Pelodiscus sinensis: one gene and its partner. The protein of the gene in region 1 interacts with the protein of each later gene in a pairwise test. Links are inferred from orthologs where the notes say so. Each region holds a gene or a part of one and is shown in the gene's direction. Other genes may lie near its edges.

Region 1 (8,950 bases):
AGGGCTGCTGGTGAGTGAGATGGAAAAAGAAAATGTACACTATTGGACTGAGTTTGCTGATGCCAAAATCCTTTGATAGACACGTGCTAAAAGATAATCTTTTTGTCTGACTCTCTCTAGAGTTCCCCCTGTCATGGCCACTTGCTTGGATAAGGACAAGTGGTTTTCTCATGTCACCTTTCTGTGTGGGTTCTACCACTCTGAAGACCCTTTTGTTCTCCAAGCTACCTAGGTTGGAATGTTGCCTTTAATTATTGAGGAAATGCTCTGCCTAATTGTCTGTGTAAGATGTGCATTGTCTGACATCCTTTTGGGTGAAGGAGACTGACATTACAGAAATCCCACTTTCACAAGCATCTGTGGCTCAGCATCTGTAGAATTTACTTGTGAGACGAGAGCCAAAAGGACCCCTTCTCTCAGTCTGAGCCTGGCCTCTGATTTCTGCTCTCCACCAATACAGAGACTTCCCACCCCCAGTCTTTGAGCAAATATGGAAGCTGATTAATATTACCAGAACTCAGTTGTAGGCAGAAATTAAAGAGCATCATTGCCCATTCTGCTTTTCTGAAAAGCAAAGGACCTGGAGTTCTGCAACCAGGTTAATAAAATGCCCCTGTTAATCTCATGTCTTTTCTCTACAAGGGGCCATGTTTGATGTGCCCACTGTTAATATTCCAATGAAGTGTTTTTAAACAGGAGGATGCTGTCCATTAAGTGGCAAAAGCTTGCCCTGGAGACTGAATGTCTGCAAAGTGCTACACTGCTGCCTTTTTTAATGTGGAAGTGCAGCTCATCAAAATTACAGGTCCCAGTGTACTGTGTGTCCTGGCTGCTTAGCCCAAGATGGAGTGTTGCATGCTGGAATCTGTCGTCGCCATGGCCCTCCTCTCCTTTCTGATGAAGTTAGCTGTGCTTAGCTCCATCTGTTAACTAGTAGGCTCCTGGCCATACTCCCCATCAGAGGTGATGGGCAGCAGCTTGCCATCACCCGGTTTTATAATTAAATGAGCTAAAGTAGATAAGAGGAGCTATGTTGATCTACTTTGGGGGAGAGGAAATTAATTTCTCTTTGTTTACAGATTTTTTTTATTTTGTTTACTTGTAGGAAGCTAAATTATGATCTGACATCTTTGTTGGGAAGGGGTCACACATAAAATAGACTTCCACTTGATTTTGTAGCTATTTTCTTAGCATCAATGGGTTAATTGTAGCTTGCAGGTATAAAGGGTAACTTACTAAAATATTGGGGTGATTCCCAGCTAGAAGGGCCCACTGAGTGGTAGGGATGTTAAGTATCAGTTAATTAACTAATCAATAGACTTTCCATCAACTGCTTGATTAGTTGATAGGGGGGGTGCTTCTGCAGCGGCTCTGCACTTCAAATGTAGTAAGAGCCCACTGTGTATTCACCCCAGAAGCGTCCCAGAGATGTAGAGTGAACTGCTGCATATGTTTAATGCATGACCATTTAGAATTGGGCAATTTTGTTCATTCTTATTGAAATGGGGGATAGGGCACAGTATAATGATCAAAACTGGGCCCTAGGGGGGCCTCAGAACTAATACAAAGAGCCACAAGCCAGTTGAAAATGGCCCTTCCAGCAGCATGGTGCCCTTCAACAACATGCAAGGCACTTGCTTTAGCTCTGATTTGAAAAGAGTTTATTCCGCTACTGCATCACCAGCAGTCAAATGCTTCTTGAGTAATTTTACACTATCTATGATCACCACCACCCGCCCCGCTAGATTTCCTGCCCTGGGCTCCGCGCCGGCTTTTTCTGTGGGGAAGATAGGAGCAGCATGCGCGCTTCCCCAGAAGTCGGATGTGGCGCGGAGTCTTGGGGCTTCTCCTCTTCCCCTGCAGGAAGCCAACAATGGCTCATCTTATGGGAGGAGGGGAGGGGATGATGCTGGATCACCAGCACGGGCTGGGGTCAGAGTGGCTTGAGGGAGGGTTCAGGGAAATGGGCAGGGGGGTAACCTGGGGTGTCCAGCCCTGCTGTGGGCAGAGTCCCATGGGAATCCGGTCCATGGTGTCCTCGCCTTCGTGCCAGGGACCTAGCCACCCCAGGGCCAACATAGCTTTGGGGTAGGACCCCCCCCCCTCATTTTCCTCTCTCCTCAGTCACCCCGCTGTTGCCCAGCCGCAGAGCCACAGCCCTGGCAGCACTCCCCCTCTAGCACAGTGGTTCTCAAACATTTTGGTCCATGGACCACCTGGCTCAATGCAAACCTTTCTGCAGATCACCAGTTGCTAATGGAAACTCACTGTTAATTACATAATTATGCCCAAGCCATTTTGCTAGTGCTGCAGCTAAGGGGAATGGTTTAATTTAAATTATTAAACAGATGAAGCATTTTAATTTTCTCTTGTTAGTTTATCAAACTTCATTTTAAATAAAGTAAAATATCAATTTATGTCCGACACAAAAGGTTTCAATATTTTCTTTATTTATGGCAAGGGTGGGGAACTTCTTTTGGGTTGGAGGCCACTGACCCACAGAAAAATCAGTTGGGGGCCACACAAGTGAGAAGCAAAAAAACTACTCCAAAAACCCTCAACCCTCTGAGCCTGACCCCGACACACCCCAATTCCCCCATTACCTCCCCACCCTGGCCCCCACTTCCCTCTCACAGCGCAGGTGAGTCCTGAGTCTGTGCAGTGTCCCCGTGCCACCTGTTGGAAGCAGGCGGAGAGCCGGGGTGGCTCTCAAGGGCACCAGGGGTGGATTCCCCCACCCCATTGCTTCCTTCTCGCTCAGGCCCCCTCCCCCACTGCCTCATAACCTCCTTGGTGGTGGCTGCTTGGGGACAGTACTGGCCAGATCCCGGGGCTGGGCAGCCTTTTCTTCCCGCTCTTCCCCCCCCCCCCCCCCCCCCGCAGGTCCCCACATAGCAGCGGGGCTGGAGTGGGCGGAGCAGCAGCAGTGCATGTGCGGTACCTCAATCCTGCAGCTCTGCGCGGGGTTCCTGTGCCACCCGGTGGAAGTGAACGGGAAGCTGGGGTGGCTCGCGGGGGCAGTGGGAGCGGACTCTCCCACCCCATTGCTTCCTTCTCCTCCAGCTCCCTTGCATGCTGGTGAGGCCGGGGCAGGCGAAGCAGCAGCAGGGTGCATGCAGGAGTGGGGCCTCAATCCTGCAGGGACGGTGAGGGGCTGTCCTGGCTCTGTGCAGCATCTCTGTATTGCCTGGTGGAGCGGAATGGGGAGCCGGGGCTGCTCTCAGGGACACTGGGGGTGGACACGAGTGGGAAGCCAGGTCCAGTCGGGGTTTTCTTCACCTCCCCCACTCCCCTGTGCCCAGAAGCTGGAGCTGGTGCTTTAAGTCTTGAGGTTGTGCAGGCTTCAGAAGTGCATGGACTGCATGTGCCACTCAAAATTGGCTCGTGTGCCGCTTATGGCACCCGTGCTGTACGTTGCCAACCCCTGCTTCAGGACTGGTTGGATACCACAGAGATAGATGAATGGGGGTCTTTTGATGAGGCTTTTGTGCTCTAGAGCAGTGTTTCTCAACCAGTGGTACGAGTATCCTTAGGAGTACTTGGGAGAAATCGGGGGGGGGGGGGGCGAGGAGGGGGAACGTCAACACAACTGAAATTTGGAGAAAACTGAATTTTTATTTGACGTTTTACAGTGTTTTATTATTTTTGTACTTTTTACACCCAAAAATGTCGTCCCCCGCCTGGCAACGATTAGTTTGTTTAAACAAATGTGTTGCAATGGTAGAAAAAAAATTGTGTGTCTGCAAACTGTAGGTACTGGGGGTACTTATAAGTTGTTGTTTTTTAAAGGGGATACTTTATAAAAAAAAGGTTGAGAAACACTGCTCTAAAGGGGCTGAGAAGGACAGAGAGCCAGGACAGTGCTGGGGGGGAGGGACACTTTGCCTAGCAGTAGGGTGGTGACTTTAGCAGGGCAGAGGTTGTGTTGGGTCTGGTCTTAGCTGGAATTAAATCAGGAGGGAGGCTCAGCCACATGCTTCCCTCTCCTGACTGATCATTTGTGCTTTTACTTAAGGATAGCAAAATCCAAGAGAGAACCCACTGCCAAATACATGAGCTACAGCTCTGGAGCGGCTGCTGCCCTTTGCCCTGCTGTCTGGAGAGCAGCGACTCATCACAGGGATGGAACACTTACCCAGTGTTATGCTGCCTTTCCCTTTTCACCTTCATTGGGTGGGGAGCTCAGCCAGGAAGGCACACAATGCCAGACTCCTGCAGCTTGAGATGTATGAGGTGGGGGAGGGGACGTTACTCCTGTGTATGCTACCTTCTTTATTTTGGGGAAGTTGTCTTCCCCATGACTCAGCCTCTCAGTCCCTCTTCCACCTGCCTGGGACTCTTTACTAGGATCCTGCTTTCCACACACCCCAAACCAGGGTAGGTGGGTGGGTGGGTCAGTGGTGGTGGTGGGGAGGGGGAGATTTACACCTCCCTCATTATCTTGTTTGAGGGAATCTGTGAAGCTCTGGGCATTCAAGGACCTGCACTGTCATTCCCCACCTGTGCCCTGTCTGCAGAGCTGGGGGAGCTAGAAGCATGAAGCAGCCAGTCAGCTCGCAGCGCAGGGGGCTTTCAGCTCTGGTGGCAAGGGGCTTCCTCTGCCAATCTGCTGCTGGCTGTTTCAAAACACTCCAGTATCATGTCTGCAAACAACCAGTCTCTTTTTGCCAGCCATTGCTGACTCCTGGATTCCTCTTTCCCACTGCATACCTCTGGGCTTCTCATGTGACTATGACCCTTTGCTTTATTTCTCTGTCTTCTAAGCATTCACCACGCCTTCCAACTCAGTCTCTGAGAATTGTACTGATGTGCCACGTCCAAGTGAAGAAGTGAAATAAATCCAATCCTAATTACACTTGCTGTGCTCCCCACTGAATCCCTCTCCCAATTCAATAAATCCCCCTTTTTCTTTATCCCTTGTAGGTTTTCAATCCACACAGCAGTGTCTTTTTCCAATGCACTAAATCCTCAAGTAAGTGTGAGCTGCACTCTCAGTCCCAAATATGTGCATCATGTTGCGCTCCAACCATCCACTAAAAGTCACTCTGCCAGCAAGAGCCACCAGGGCTGGCAAACCTGACTATCCCCAGACTGCCTTTTGCTCATGGTTCCATTGCTCTCTAGGTGTTAATGTTGAGGGATTTTTCTTTCCCTGTTTGTTGTGTTGCTTTGGTATGGTCGGGTTAGATGCAGGTCTTGTGTCTCAGTTCCTTGGACCCACAATGGCGGGAGGGGGGGGGGTATTTTCCAGACTGGTTATGCAAACATCTTTTGAATTTGATATGGCCCTAGAGAGCCATTTATCATGTTACCACAGCAACATGCAGACACCTTGACCCATGCAGCTGGGAGGTGGGGTTTTGTGGTGATTCTGTGGTAAGACACATCTATGTTTGAGAATCTGCTCCCTGGAACAGCACAACCAGACACACTCGGCTCCTGACATCCTGCTGATGACAGCGTCTGACTGCTGCTCCGTGAGTAACCAACGGCAGGTGTATGCCTAGCGTACAGCCTCCCTAATGCTGGGGAAGGGCAGGGAGCAGCTGGCAAAGTAGTTCTGCTTAATGGTTCTGCATTTAATCTATTGCTGGGAAAGAAGGAATCTGTGCTGGAAATGGCAGTAGGGGATGTCAGAATAGTGGCATTCGGGTTTTGGAGATTGAAAAAGGATCCCTGCCATGGCTTTGGGGATGCATTAGCCACAGTAGCTAGAGCATGCATTGTACTGTTCAAATGCATTAGATTGAATCTGTATCTGAACAAGCACTGGTCTATTCTCCTAAAAGCCTTCTGAGTGCTCCAGAGCTGGCACTGCATGGGTGGGGAGTTTGCTCATTCCTTATTAAGCTCTACCAATGCTCCTATATCCTGCACCACGGCACCAGCTAATCCAGCCCTGACCATTATCCTCAGCTTTGCTAGGACACCTCCATTCTGACCTGCTTCACCCCTTGCTACTCTTATCCTTGGCTCTTTGTTTAGTTTTGGAAATGCCCCTCAGTCCTGGCCTGCAGTCCCCATCCTAGACTTCCACCTTGCACAGTTGTGCTGCTGGACCTCAATCATGACTCAACACCCCCTGCAATTCATATTCTGACTCTCAGGACTGTTACTCCAATTTGCCAATTTGAGAGGTGGTTGATGCCTCCCAACCTCTTCGTTCAGTGCTTTCTTTCGTTGAGGAGACTCATTTGGGACTCTTCCAGGAGTCACCAATTCTGCTGCTTACTTGCATAGATCTAGGTGCTATTAAGCAATACCGGGTCTCATCCACCCAAGGCATGTACTGCCTCAACATAGCTCTCTGCCCCTGCTGGTCTAGACTGCAAGAGATCAGGATGTACCTACAGCTTGAGACTCCACCAGAGTCATCAGTTCGACTAGAGACCAGACCTGAGACCATTCCCAGCATTGTTTTCCCAGAAAGCTCCTTGATTAGACTCTGGACTTTGCTTTGCAGGCTGATATGTCATGATGGCAGCAAACAGAAGCCAGAAAATGCAGAACCAGAACGGAAACACGAAGGTGAGTGTGGGCAAGAGATGGAGAGGCAAAGAAGGCTGCTGTGTACGAGCAACATCAGATGGACCCCTGGCTTGAGAAGTAGGAGGTTGCTAATGCTACCAGGGGAGTATTTGATTCAAATATTATACTGTACTGTCTTCTGTTGCAAAAGTCCGTATCATCTTTGTAACAGATCAGCAACTATAGCAATATACAGTTACTGTTGGAAAAAATAATTATAACATTTAGCAAGATCTGTGTTTTTAAATGCTTTCTCTTAAAATCAAGTTCTTAGACAAAATCTTTGATTCAATCAGAGTTGGAAATATCAGTTAAATTAAGCAGCATTCAAACTGTAGTTATTAAAACCCCCAGTGTATTCATGCCCCCTGCCAAAAAAACTAAAGCAGCTCAAAAAATTAAAGCCTAAAAACTCAGTAGTTCAGATTCCAGAAGCAACCTTAATTCTGACTCTGTCTGTCCGTCAACAATGTTCAGTGACGGTCTTTACCCACTTTCACAGTATGGACCACAAATATGCTACCATGCTGAGAACCCAGTACAAATGTAAAGAACCACAGCCATTGGGATGGCCTTGGTGTAGGAGTTACATAATTGCTAGCCCTGGAAATGCCATCAACTCCCATATTTACTGCACAAGCAGACCTATAACCTACTCTGAACACATATGGCACTGATCTGAATACAAGCTGTTCCCTCTCCCCTCCCAGACACACACACAGCCTCGCAGCTATCATTCACCAGGCATTGATTAGTCCAGTCTACTCCATTCCTCCTGCCACACTCGGGTGACTTGGAGAACCTCTCCTCTTTGTAATGCCCTGATCAGACTCATGTAGTGTAGTGCTGCACTGGCAATGAATGTCTGACATAAAGTGGCAGAGCCTAGGGGTTTTCACTTAACTAGGTATGTCTTGATTTTTACTAGGAATGTGAATGACTAGTTGACTATCCAATAAGCAAATGCTTATCGAATAAACTAGTCGCTTCTATCAGAAAGAGGCAGCAAGGTGGGGGGGGGGAGAAGAGGGTGCTTCAAAGCGGCAGCGCTGTGTGGAGCCCGGGAACAGACCCTGGGCGTCATGCGGCGCTGCCACTTTGAAACACCACATGCAGCCCAGGACCAGCTGGGTACTGGACTTCCAGCTGGCCCCAGGCTGCACGTGTCATTTCAAAGCAGCAGCACCGTGCAGAGCTTGGGTTCAGCTGGGGACTCTCCCACTGACCCCAGGCTCCCACGGTGCTGCTGCTTTGAAATGCCGCAGGGAGCACGGGGCTAGTGGGGGACTGCTTGAGTTCCCCACTGGCCCCATGCTCCTCACAGTGCTTTCACCTTTGAAGTGTAGCAACAATCTGTTGCTACACTTCAAAGGCAAAGTTGCACTTATCGGCTAAGCAGCTTCCGGTCAGCGATGCAGCAGGGTTGCTAAGGCAGTTTCCTGCCTCTCCTGGCACCACAGACCATGATGTGCCTGAGAAGCAGCCAGCGGCCTGTTCCCAGCCAATGGGAGTGCGAAGCTAGTGCTCAGGGTAGGGGCAGTGCACGGAGCCTTGTGCACTCTCCTCCCCCCTTCCGTCCTCTCGCCCCACACCCCAGCCACACACACACCTAGTAGAAAGGCCTGTTGCTGTCCACTCCTGGGACTAGGGTTGCCAGGTGTCTGGTTTTGAACCAGAAAGTCCAGCATTTGAGGCTTCTGTCCAGGAAATAAATTGAGAAAATACCGGACATATAAACTAATTAGATTAGTTTGATTATTACGAGTATCAGTACGTAGCTGCGTACTGCCTGGCTGGTAGACATGCTCACACTGCATGAGTCACACTGTGTGAGTGTGTCTACCAGCCAGGCAATACGCAACTACGCAGTAGGGAGGAGCGAGCGCGGGTGGGACGGGATGGAATCCCTGGGGCCGGACTCACTCGTGCTCCTCCGGGACCATGCGCAGGACAAGCAGCTCCCCGGAATCTGCGTGTGACCGGGCCCAGGCCAGCCCTGCTCCCCACCAGCCAGCCCTGTTCCCCCCAACCCTCTCCCGGCCAGCCCTACTTCCTGCCAGCCGGTTCTGTCCCAGCCAGCCCCACTCCCTGCCGGCCAATTCTTTCCCCCTGCTCTCCTCCCCCTCCGTCTCTCTTCCCCCCCCCCCAGCCTGCCCCACTCCCCCTCACTGCCTCCGAGCCAGCCCCACTGCCCACCGGCCAGTTCTCCCCAGGCCAGCCCCACTCCCCCCACCCCCGTCCTGGCCAGCCCTGCTTCCTGCTGGCCGTTCACCCCCTCCCCCGATCTCCTTTGGCCAGCCCTGCTCCCCCCGCTCCCCTCCCGGCCAGTTCCCCCCCCCCACCCCCCATTTGAGATCAAGTGTGTCCGGTATTTTTTTGTTAAGCCATCTGGTAACCCTACCTGGGGCACGGCGCAGTCTGT
Region 2 (8,858 bases), on another chromosome or scaffold:
ATAGCTGAAAATGGAAGCTAAGACTTCTGAACATTGCTTCCCACTCACTGAATCATGCTGCCTGACTTTGATTCCAACATTTATACTTTAATAATTAGGTTTAATATTAAAGACTATTGTTCTGCTTTCATGGATTTGTAATGCCTATTATAATCCTCTCCCTTTAATTGGATTAAATTAATGCTTGTGCAGCACTTTGAAAATGCAAAGACAATATAAATGCTAGTTAATCATTATTAAGGTCAAAGTTCAAAACTGTTCTAATTCACATGTAATAATTCTCAAGGTTTACTTTAAAAAAACAAAAACAGCCCAAAAATTTAATGCTAGGCTGCTAGGTAGGTGCTGTTGCCTCTCCTTGCCTCTAGTAAACATGCTGGAGAATGCTTTTTCTTGTGAAGGAATTACTACCTCGGTCTGGTGCTATTGCCTCCCCTGAAAATATTTTTCCGGATATAAGTCTCAAAGGGCTAGCCTTGTTAGTCTTTAAAGGGTACGTCTACACTGCAGGACAAAGTCGAGTCAAGATACACAATTAGGCTGTGTCTAGACTGGCCAGTTTTTCCGGAAAATCAGCCACTTTTCCGGAAAAACTTGCCAGCTGTCTACACTGGCCGCCTGAATTTCCGCAAAAGCACTGACTTCCTACTGTAAGAAATCAGTGCTTTTTGCGGAAATACTATGCTGCTCCTGTTCGGGCAAAAGTCCCTTTTGCGCAAAAGTTTTGCGCAAAAGGGCCAGTGTAGCCAGCTGAGATTTGTTTTCCGCAAAAAAAGCCCCAATCACGAAAATGACGATCGGGGCTTTTTTGCGGAAAAGCACGTCTAGATTGGCCATGGACACTTTTCTGCAAAAAATGCTTTTGCAGAAAAACGTCCGTGCCAATCTAGACGCTCTTTTCTGAAAATGCTTTTAATGGAAAACTTTTCAGTTAAAAGCATTTCCGGAAAATCATGCCAGTCTAGACGTAGCCTTAATGTAGCTGAAGTTGTGTAGCTGAAGTCAAAGTAGCTTAACTCTTCTTTAGGCACTGTCTATACAGCAGGAAATTGAAGGAAGAACACTCTTCCTTAGACTTCCCTTACTCTTCATGAAATGAGGGTTACAGAAGTTGGAGTAAGAAGCTCATTATTTTGAAATGAAATAATGGACTTGATGTGTAGACTCGCACTCTGTAATTTTGAAATAACATAAGTTATTTTGAAATAAGCATGCAATGTAGATATACCCTAACTGAAAAAAAAATAAAAAACAAATGGTCCTGCAGCACCTTAGAGACTAACAAAAGATGTAGATAGTATCATGATATTTCATGGGCACTAGCCACATATTCAGATGAATGGAGCAAGGGATCCAGAGATCTAATAGCTTTTCACTGATATTTCCTGTTCTGTAAACTTTTCCTTCTTTGTTATTTAATTAACATAAATAATAGCCAAGTGAACATATTATACACATATGTATGCATATTGATGGGGTATTTACACCATTAGTTTCTAGGGTTCACAACTTAATGATAATTCTAGATCCCCTTTTTAGTGCTGGCTGATCATATTTGAACAGTAACCCACTTGAGATTTTACCATCTGTGTCTAAATAGAAATGCTTAATCCTTCTTTTTAGACACAGACATTGTCACTGTTATCCAGGCCTTTGCTGTCTTAAAATTAGACTGCTGCTAGTGCTGCAACATGCCCTATATATTGCTACATTTAAAACCATTTGGAAACAGAAGCTGGTGCAGAAAGCACTAATTCTTTTAGGCTTACTCTATGCTACTATGGGTCGTTACACAACATCATCTTCATGAACATAGTGGAAGTTACAGCGATGTTCTCACTGTGGTAAATTTACAGCTGACACTCTCTCATCGACTCCACTTACTCTTCTTATTTTGATGGAGGACTGGAGGAGAGTGCTCAGAAAGCTAGACGTGATAAATCGACCCCCACGGGTTCTACCACTGCCCAACGATCTTAGGGGTAGTGAAGGTATGCCCTTACTGAGCTGGGCATCTGGATAAGCACTTAAGGGTGTGTATTTTGACTTATAAACCCCTAAATGGTTTGTGACCCACTCTCCTGAGAGATTCCCTCAGTCTTGCACATCTGTGGTGGATGTGTGTGTCATATTTACACACACACACACACACACATTAATGCATAACTATGGCCACAGCATTTTGTGCAACCAATCCTTTTAAATAGTTTTGCCTGAAAATCTTTGACATTTTTCCTGATTTAATGAGGCACTAAGCCTCATCGGTCTTCTTCTAATGATCCCAAATGGAAGCTGTATAGGGATGGATGGTGGTTCTTAACAAACCTAAACCAGAAGTTGCTATATCAGCCACAGGGTTGGTAAAAGGTTCAAGAAGATTCATTAGTACTATTTGAGTACTCCTCAATGAGCTCTCCTTTAGCTGTTGGTGTATTAAAGACTGTTAGTGTATCAAAAAATAGTCTACTTGTGTGGAACTAGTTTTTGCAAACACAGGAGTTCTCAATCAGGGGTACACATACCTTTACGGATATGCAGAGGTCTTCCAGAGAGTACATCAACTCATCTACTTATTTGCTTAGTTTTACAACAGGTTACAAAAAACGCACTATGGGTTGAACCTCTCTGGTACTGGACTCTCTGGATGTTGCTGGACCAGAGAGCCTCAGCTGTGGAATCCTGGCAGCTCTGGCCCCAAGGCTGTGAAGTCCAGCAGCTTTGACCACCAGGGCTGCAGAGCCCCAATGACCCTTGAGCAGCTGAGCCCCAGCAGCCCCAGACTGGTCGCAAAGCTGGGAGCCCAGGCAGGTAAGCATGGCAATCTGCTGATAGATACCAGAGAGTCCAGAGTTTGCCAGCAGAGAGGCCATCCTCGGTTCAACAAAATCCTTCCTTTGGGACTGGTCAGGTCCCGAGGGTGCCAGATCAGGGAGGTTCAACCTGCAGTAAAGTCTATACAAATGACATTTCATACAATGATTTGTTTATTCTGCTTCATATACCATACACTAAAATGTAAAAGTATAATATTTGTTTCAAATGATTTATTTTATGATATGGTAAAAATGAGAATTTTTTCAGTAGCAGTGTACTGTTTGAAAGTTCTGTATTTTAATGTCTGATTTGTAAGCATATAGTTTTTAAGTGAAGTGGAACTTGGAGTTAAGACAAATCAGGGTCCTGAAAGGGGTATAGTACAGGAAAACTCTATTAGTCCAGCATCCAATGCTCCGGGACTCCTGATGGTCCGGCACCATCAGGAACCCGGAAGTGCTGGGGCAGCCGGACAGGCTTCCCCCATTCAGCTGCTGCTGAAACTGACCATCAGCTGAATCGGGGAAGCCGGGAGCAGAGCAGCTGGGGTGCTACCGGGTTGGTCTGGTAGCACTGCCCCTCGGGGCTGCGGGACCAACCCGGCAGCACCCCAGCTGCTCTTGGGGATGCCTGGGGGCAGAGCAGCTGGAGTGCTGCCGGGTTGGTCCCGCAGTGCCAAAGGACGGCAATGCGGGACCAACCCGGCAGGACCCCAGCTGCACTGCCACGGGCTTCCTGGAATCAGCCGCTGATCTGTTTCAGCAGCGGCTGAATCAGGGACCCCTGGGGCAGTGCAGCTGAGGTCCTGCCGGGTTGGTCCCGCAGTGCCGAGGGGCAGCGCTACAAGACCAACCCAGCAGCACCCCAGCTGCTTTGCCCCAGGCATCAGGATTCAGCCACTGCTGAAACTGACCAGCAGCGTCAGTTTCACTAGCAGGCTGAATCCTGATGCCTGGGGCAGAGCAGCTGGGGTGCTGCCGGGTTGGTCTTGTAGCGCCGCCCCTCGGTGCTGCGGGACCAACCCGGCAGCACCCCAGCTGCTCTATTGCAGGTATCCCCGATTCAGCTGCTGCTGAAACTGACCAGCAGTGGCTGAATCAGGGACTTCTGGGGCAGAGCCTGACTATTGTAAGGGGGGGGGCTATGACGGGTCTGGGGTGGCATCCTCTCCCACCCCACTCCAGACCCCTCATAGCCCCCCCTTACGATAGTCCGGCATATCTGATAATCCGGCACCCCCTGGGTCCTAAAGGTGCCGGATTATCGGAAGTTTACTGTAGTTAAGTAATTTTGAGAGCCACTATGCCGGTCAGAAACCAGGATTCACTGAAATTCACTTGTGTTCTTTCCCTGAAGCACTGTTGCTGGCCACTGTGGAAAAACAGCATACTGGATTACACCAACTATTGGTATGACCCAGCGTTGGCTGTTCACTGTCCTAAAGGGAAAACAAAGTAGGCAACCTCAGGGCTGAATGTGGGCTGTTGGGGTTCTATGGGTGGCCTGCAAGACATTTTGTTTACCAGTTGCCAACGCGCAGAGTTGCCAGATTCTGCCGGTTTCTGTTTGCATCATTTTTTCCCTACTGGTATTACTAAAGTGACACACACGTGAAGCAAGGGCACGTAAAGTGAGGTGTGTGCCGATTGCACACATTGACTGTGACAGTTGTGTGCTCCCTCTGCATCAAATCAAAGCACTGCTATGGTTCAATCATGACACCCCACAAATTCCAGGTACACAAGTGCAGTGAGCTTTCCTGGGCGACTATCTTGCGCCCCACTGAGATGAAGGAGGGTCACTCACATGCAGCCCACACAGTAGCGCAGACTGCCCATGGCAGGTCTGGGGTGCATTTAAGTGTACTCTCCACATCACTAGCACCCAGGCCATTTGAGGCCTCGACCTCTGGCACAGCATTAATTACGTCTGTGAATAGGCCACACGCAAAAGGCGCCTTTCTTCTCTCCTCCTCTCACCCCCGCCTGAATGCGCCCAGCCCGGAGAGCTGCGCTAGGAGAGAGCGCTCCCAAAGGCCTCCGCACCCGGCGCGCGACCTCCACGCTCCACCGCGAGCTGCCCGTCACCCCGCCAGCCCAGGGGGCGGGTCCCTGGGACGCTCTAGCCTCGCGCGTTGGGGCGGGGCGGGACGGGTCGACGCGGCGGGGATGACGCGGTGGGCGGGTCCCGGTCCCGTGATGGCTGGCCCTGCTGCGCTCGCGCTCTCACTCGCGGCCGCCTCCCCGGCACCAGCTCTCGGCCGCCGCGCCGCCGCCATGGCCGAGGACGGGCACCTGGAGGCGTCGAGCGAAGGGTGAGCCGGGACGGGACGGGGCGGGGTGACGGCGCCACAGGCGGGGGCAGCGGGCCAAGGGGACGAAGGGACTCCCCCCCCCCCCCCGCCCGTGTACACCCCTCCGCCCCATCGCAGACCCTCGCATCCCAGCCGCTGTGGGCTCCTCTGTGTCCCTGCCTCCCTGTGCTTACTGCAAGCCCACCGCTGTGATAGTTGTTGCTGCGGTTACAGCCGCCTGCGGGCGCCTCACATCTCCCCCCTGCTCCAGCCCGTGTTAGCTGCTGCTACTAAAAAAAAACAACCTCTTTTGTCTCTGGTGCGCCTGTCGCTGCATCTCGCCGCTGCCTTCCTCTTCCCTTCCGCACAAACTTAGAACAGCTCCCCTTCAAACACATTGGCCCGACCCATCTTCCTGCTACTATCCCTTTCCTTCCCCAGCAGGCTTTCAGAAGGAATCGTTGTCTTCAGCTTTCTGCGATGATGTGCCTTATGCTTTTGAAACTGTCTGTTCCTCCATTGTAGTATGTGGGCCAAACAAACCCCCCTCTCTATTACAGAGACAAGGTGGGTCTGGTGAAGTAATAACTTTTATTGGATGAACGTCTGTTGGAGAGAGAGACAAACTTTTAAGTGAATAAAGATATTACCTCACCCACATTGTGTCTCCCATATCCTGGAATCAACACAGCTGTAACACCCTTAACAAAATACAGGACTATGTAGCACTTTAAAGACTAACAAGATGGTTTATTAGATGATGAGCTTTCGTGGGCCAGACCCACTTCCTCAGATCAAATAATGAAAGAAAATTGTCACAACCATATATACCATATATATGGCTGTGACTATTTTCTTCCACTATTTGATCTGAGGAAGTGGGTCTGGCCCATGAAAGCTCATCATCTAATAAACCATCTTGTTAGTCTTTAAAGTGCTACATAGTCCTGTATTTTGTTTTAGCTACACCAGACTAACATGGCTACATTTGTAACACCCTTAAGCATTCTTCTTAAAATACACACTCTGAAGATCCCAGTTGATAATTTACCAAATAAGTTTTAAAATAGCTATGCTTTATCTTCTGATTCAGTGCATTGGTTCTGAACTGCATTAGTTGTTTAACTTGATCTTTAAGGGTGTTAAGGTGGGTAGTGGTGAGTGCTCTGTTTCTGTCATCAGCACCATGCAGGATTGTGTTCTTAGAATATAAGATCTTTAGGGTACAAACAATGGTCTACATTTTCATAATAAGGGATTATTGATGCCCAACATGGCATTTTTTAAAAGGGGCATGATTTTCAGAAAATGCTCAGCTCCACTGTCTGAAAATCAAGCCCTTTTTAAGGTCTTTAAAATCAGAAGCCAAAATCACTAGTCACTTTTGAAAATGAAAGCTTATGCCTCCTCTTCATACATCAGAAAGTACATTGATAGTGATGAATTGGCTGAGCTTTGAACAGTTAGCTGCAGTAATATAAATACTCTGTCTTAATAGTAGCCAGTCCTAAAGCTTAGTCATCTTTTGAAGGTGAACAAGCTTGGTTAACTGCCAAAAAAAAAAAATTAAACTGTGTGAACTAATAAAACACTAATTTTCAATTTTAAAATTATTTGTCTTGGTGGATTCTATTAAAATCATAGATTAGGTACAGTTCAATATGACAGGCGAGATCAAGTGCATATAAAGGAAAAAACTGAAGTTTAATCTCTTTTAAACCAAATATATTGAGTAGTAACTCAGCTATTACACCACAAGTTCAACTAATTGACATCTGGTAACATGAGCATTCTATGGGAGAGTAGTGATGATAGCACAGTAAAATTGCTACAAAATACATTAATCAAAACATGCAAAGCCATACAGCTGTAATAGATAATCTGATCTGAAGATAGTCTTCAATATAAAATAAAATAGAAATACAGTAAAACTCCATTGTTCCGGCATCCAATGCTCCGGAATTCCTGATAGTCCAGCACCATCGGGAACCCGGAAGTGCTCCGGGCAGCTGGACAATTGGAGCTGCTCTGCGCCCAGCTTCTCCGATTCAGCCACTGCTGAAACTGACCAGCAGCTGAATCAGGGAAGCCGGGGGCAGAGCAGCTGGGGTGCCGCTGGGTTGGTCCCGTAGCGCAGCCCCTCGGGGCTGCGGGACTAACCTGGCAGCACCCCAGCTGCTCTTGGGGACACCTGGGGCAGAGCAGCTGGAGTGCTGCCAAGGGGCGGTGCTACGGGACCAACCCAGCAGCACCCCAGCTGCTCTGTCCCAGGCATCCCCAAGAGCAGCTGGGGTGCTGCCGGGTTGATCTCACAGCACCGAAGGGTGGTGCTACTGGACCAAGCCGGCAGTACTCCAGCTGCTCTGCCGCAGGCATCCCTGAGTCAGCCACTGCTGAAACTGACCAGCAGCGGCTGAATCGCGGATGCCTGGGGCAGAGCCGGACTATTGGAAGGGGGGGCTATGAGGGGTCTGGGGTGGCATCCCCTCCACCCCACCCCAGACCCCTCATAGCCCCCTCTTCCGATAGTCCGGCATATCTGATAATCCGGCACCCCCTGGGTCCTAAAGGTGCCGGATTATCAGAAGTTTACTGTAGCTTGTATGACAGCATTCTATATAAAATGACTGGTTACTGCTAAGTTTGCATTAAATGTAGGGAGAAGTTTTAAGGGTAGAAAATGTTTTGTCTTCATCTAAGGTAAGTTGGAATAACTCTCTCTAAAAATATCTTTGGGTTTTTTGGTGAATTTAGATGGAACGGCTAGCAACAACTAGTTAAAACTTAAGAGTGCCTTGGAATAATATATAGAAATATGTTGTAGGAATCAGTACAATTCCAATATTCATAACTATTTATTGTCTTTTTGAGACATTTCTGAATTTGGGATATAACTCTTGGGGCATGTTGTTGGATATCTTAGACTTTTTACAATCTCAGTATGAATGTATGTAGTTTTAAAATCTTCAGTAATGAATTCAGTAGGCTTAAATTCATAAGGTGCTTCTAGTAAGACACTTGGGGTACTATACTGCATAAGATTCAGAGTGATTGACATGATGTTTAAAGTAGGGATGTCAGTGTGTAGACAACTACATGATTAACTGGTAAGCCCGGGCATATCGGTTAATTTTGTCGACTACACACATTCCTCCTCCTTTCTCCCCCCTATTTCCCTGCTGTCTCTGTATCAGAGGCAGCAAGGGGTGGGGCAGGAGCCCGTGCTCCTGGAGAGTCAGCTTTTAAACCGGATACCAACAAGCACCAGATCCGCCTGTTCCCTCCCTGCTGTGCTGCTGCCTCCAGGGACCCTCCTTTCCCTTCCCCCACCTGTACCTATGGATACACAGGAGGCAGCGTGTGTGGCAGGGGGCTTCGAGAGGGGTCAGGAGAATACTGACTGCCAACCCTGCCCCAGGGGTCTATTGAATAGTTGTGTAATGGCAAAAATTTGATGTGGTTAAATGATTATTTAATTAGACACCATCTAACACCCCAATTTAAAGGGACACTGCAGATTTGTCTGACTGTCACACCTTAAATTTTAAAATAAAGCATAAGTAGGAGGATAAAGAATCATGCTCCAAAAGATCTGCACATAGTCCCTTTGCTCAGTTTTTCTTTAGCTTAGAAATGAAGATTCAAGACACATTAATTCAAAACAGTGTGACTGCTCTGCAGGGCCTTGTCTTAGCCCTTGTCTCCATTATCACTTATCAGGTGAGCCTTCTCCACTCCCTTCCCACTCAAC

Evidence for each region.
Region 2: the proteins of PLIN1 (region 1) and ABHD5 interact in a protein complementation assay, tested with the Homo sapiens proteins (3 studies listed by BioGRID, with this or other methods). The link is inferred for Pelodiscus sinensis from reciprocal best matches to the Homo sapiens genes PLIN1 and ABHD5.

Annotation. Positions count from the first base shown.
Region 1 is NC_134724.1:16,614,471-16,623,420, reverse strand, and holds the start of PLIN1 (perilipin-1), read left to right. Parts: upstream 1-5,242; 5' UTR 5,243-5,477; intron 5,478-6,463; 5' UTR 6,464-6,474; coding exon 6,475-6,528; intron 6,529-8,950. UniProt on the Homo sapiens protein: Modulator of adipocyte lipid metabolism. Coats lipid storage droplets to protect them from breakdown by hormone-sensitive lipase (HSL). Its absence may result in leanness. Plays a role in unilocular lipid droplet formation by activating CIDEC.
Region 2 is NC_134712.1:182,749,816-182,758,673, forward strand, and holds the start of ABHD5 (1-acylglycerol-3-phosphate O-acyltransferase ABHD5), read left to right. Parts: upstream 1-4,972; 5' UTR 4,973-4,982; coding exon 4,983-5,128; intron 5,129-8,858. UniProt on the Homo sapiens protein: Coenzyme A-dependent lysophosphatidic acid acyltransferase that catalyzes the transfer of an acyl group on a lysophosphatidic acid.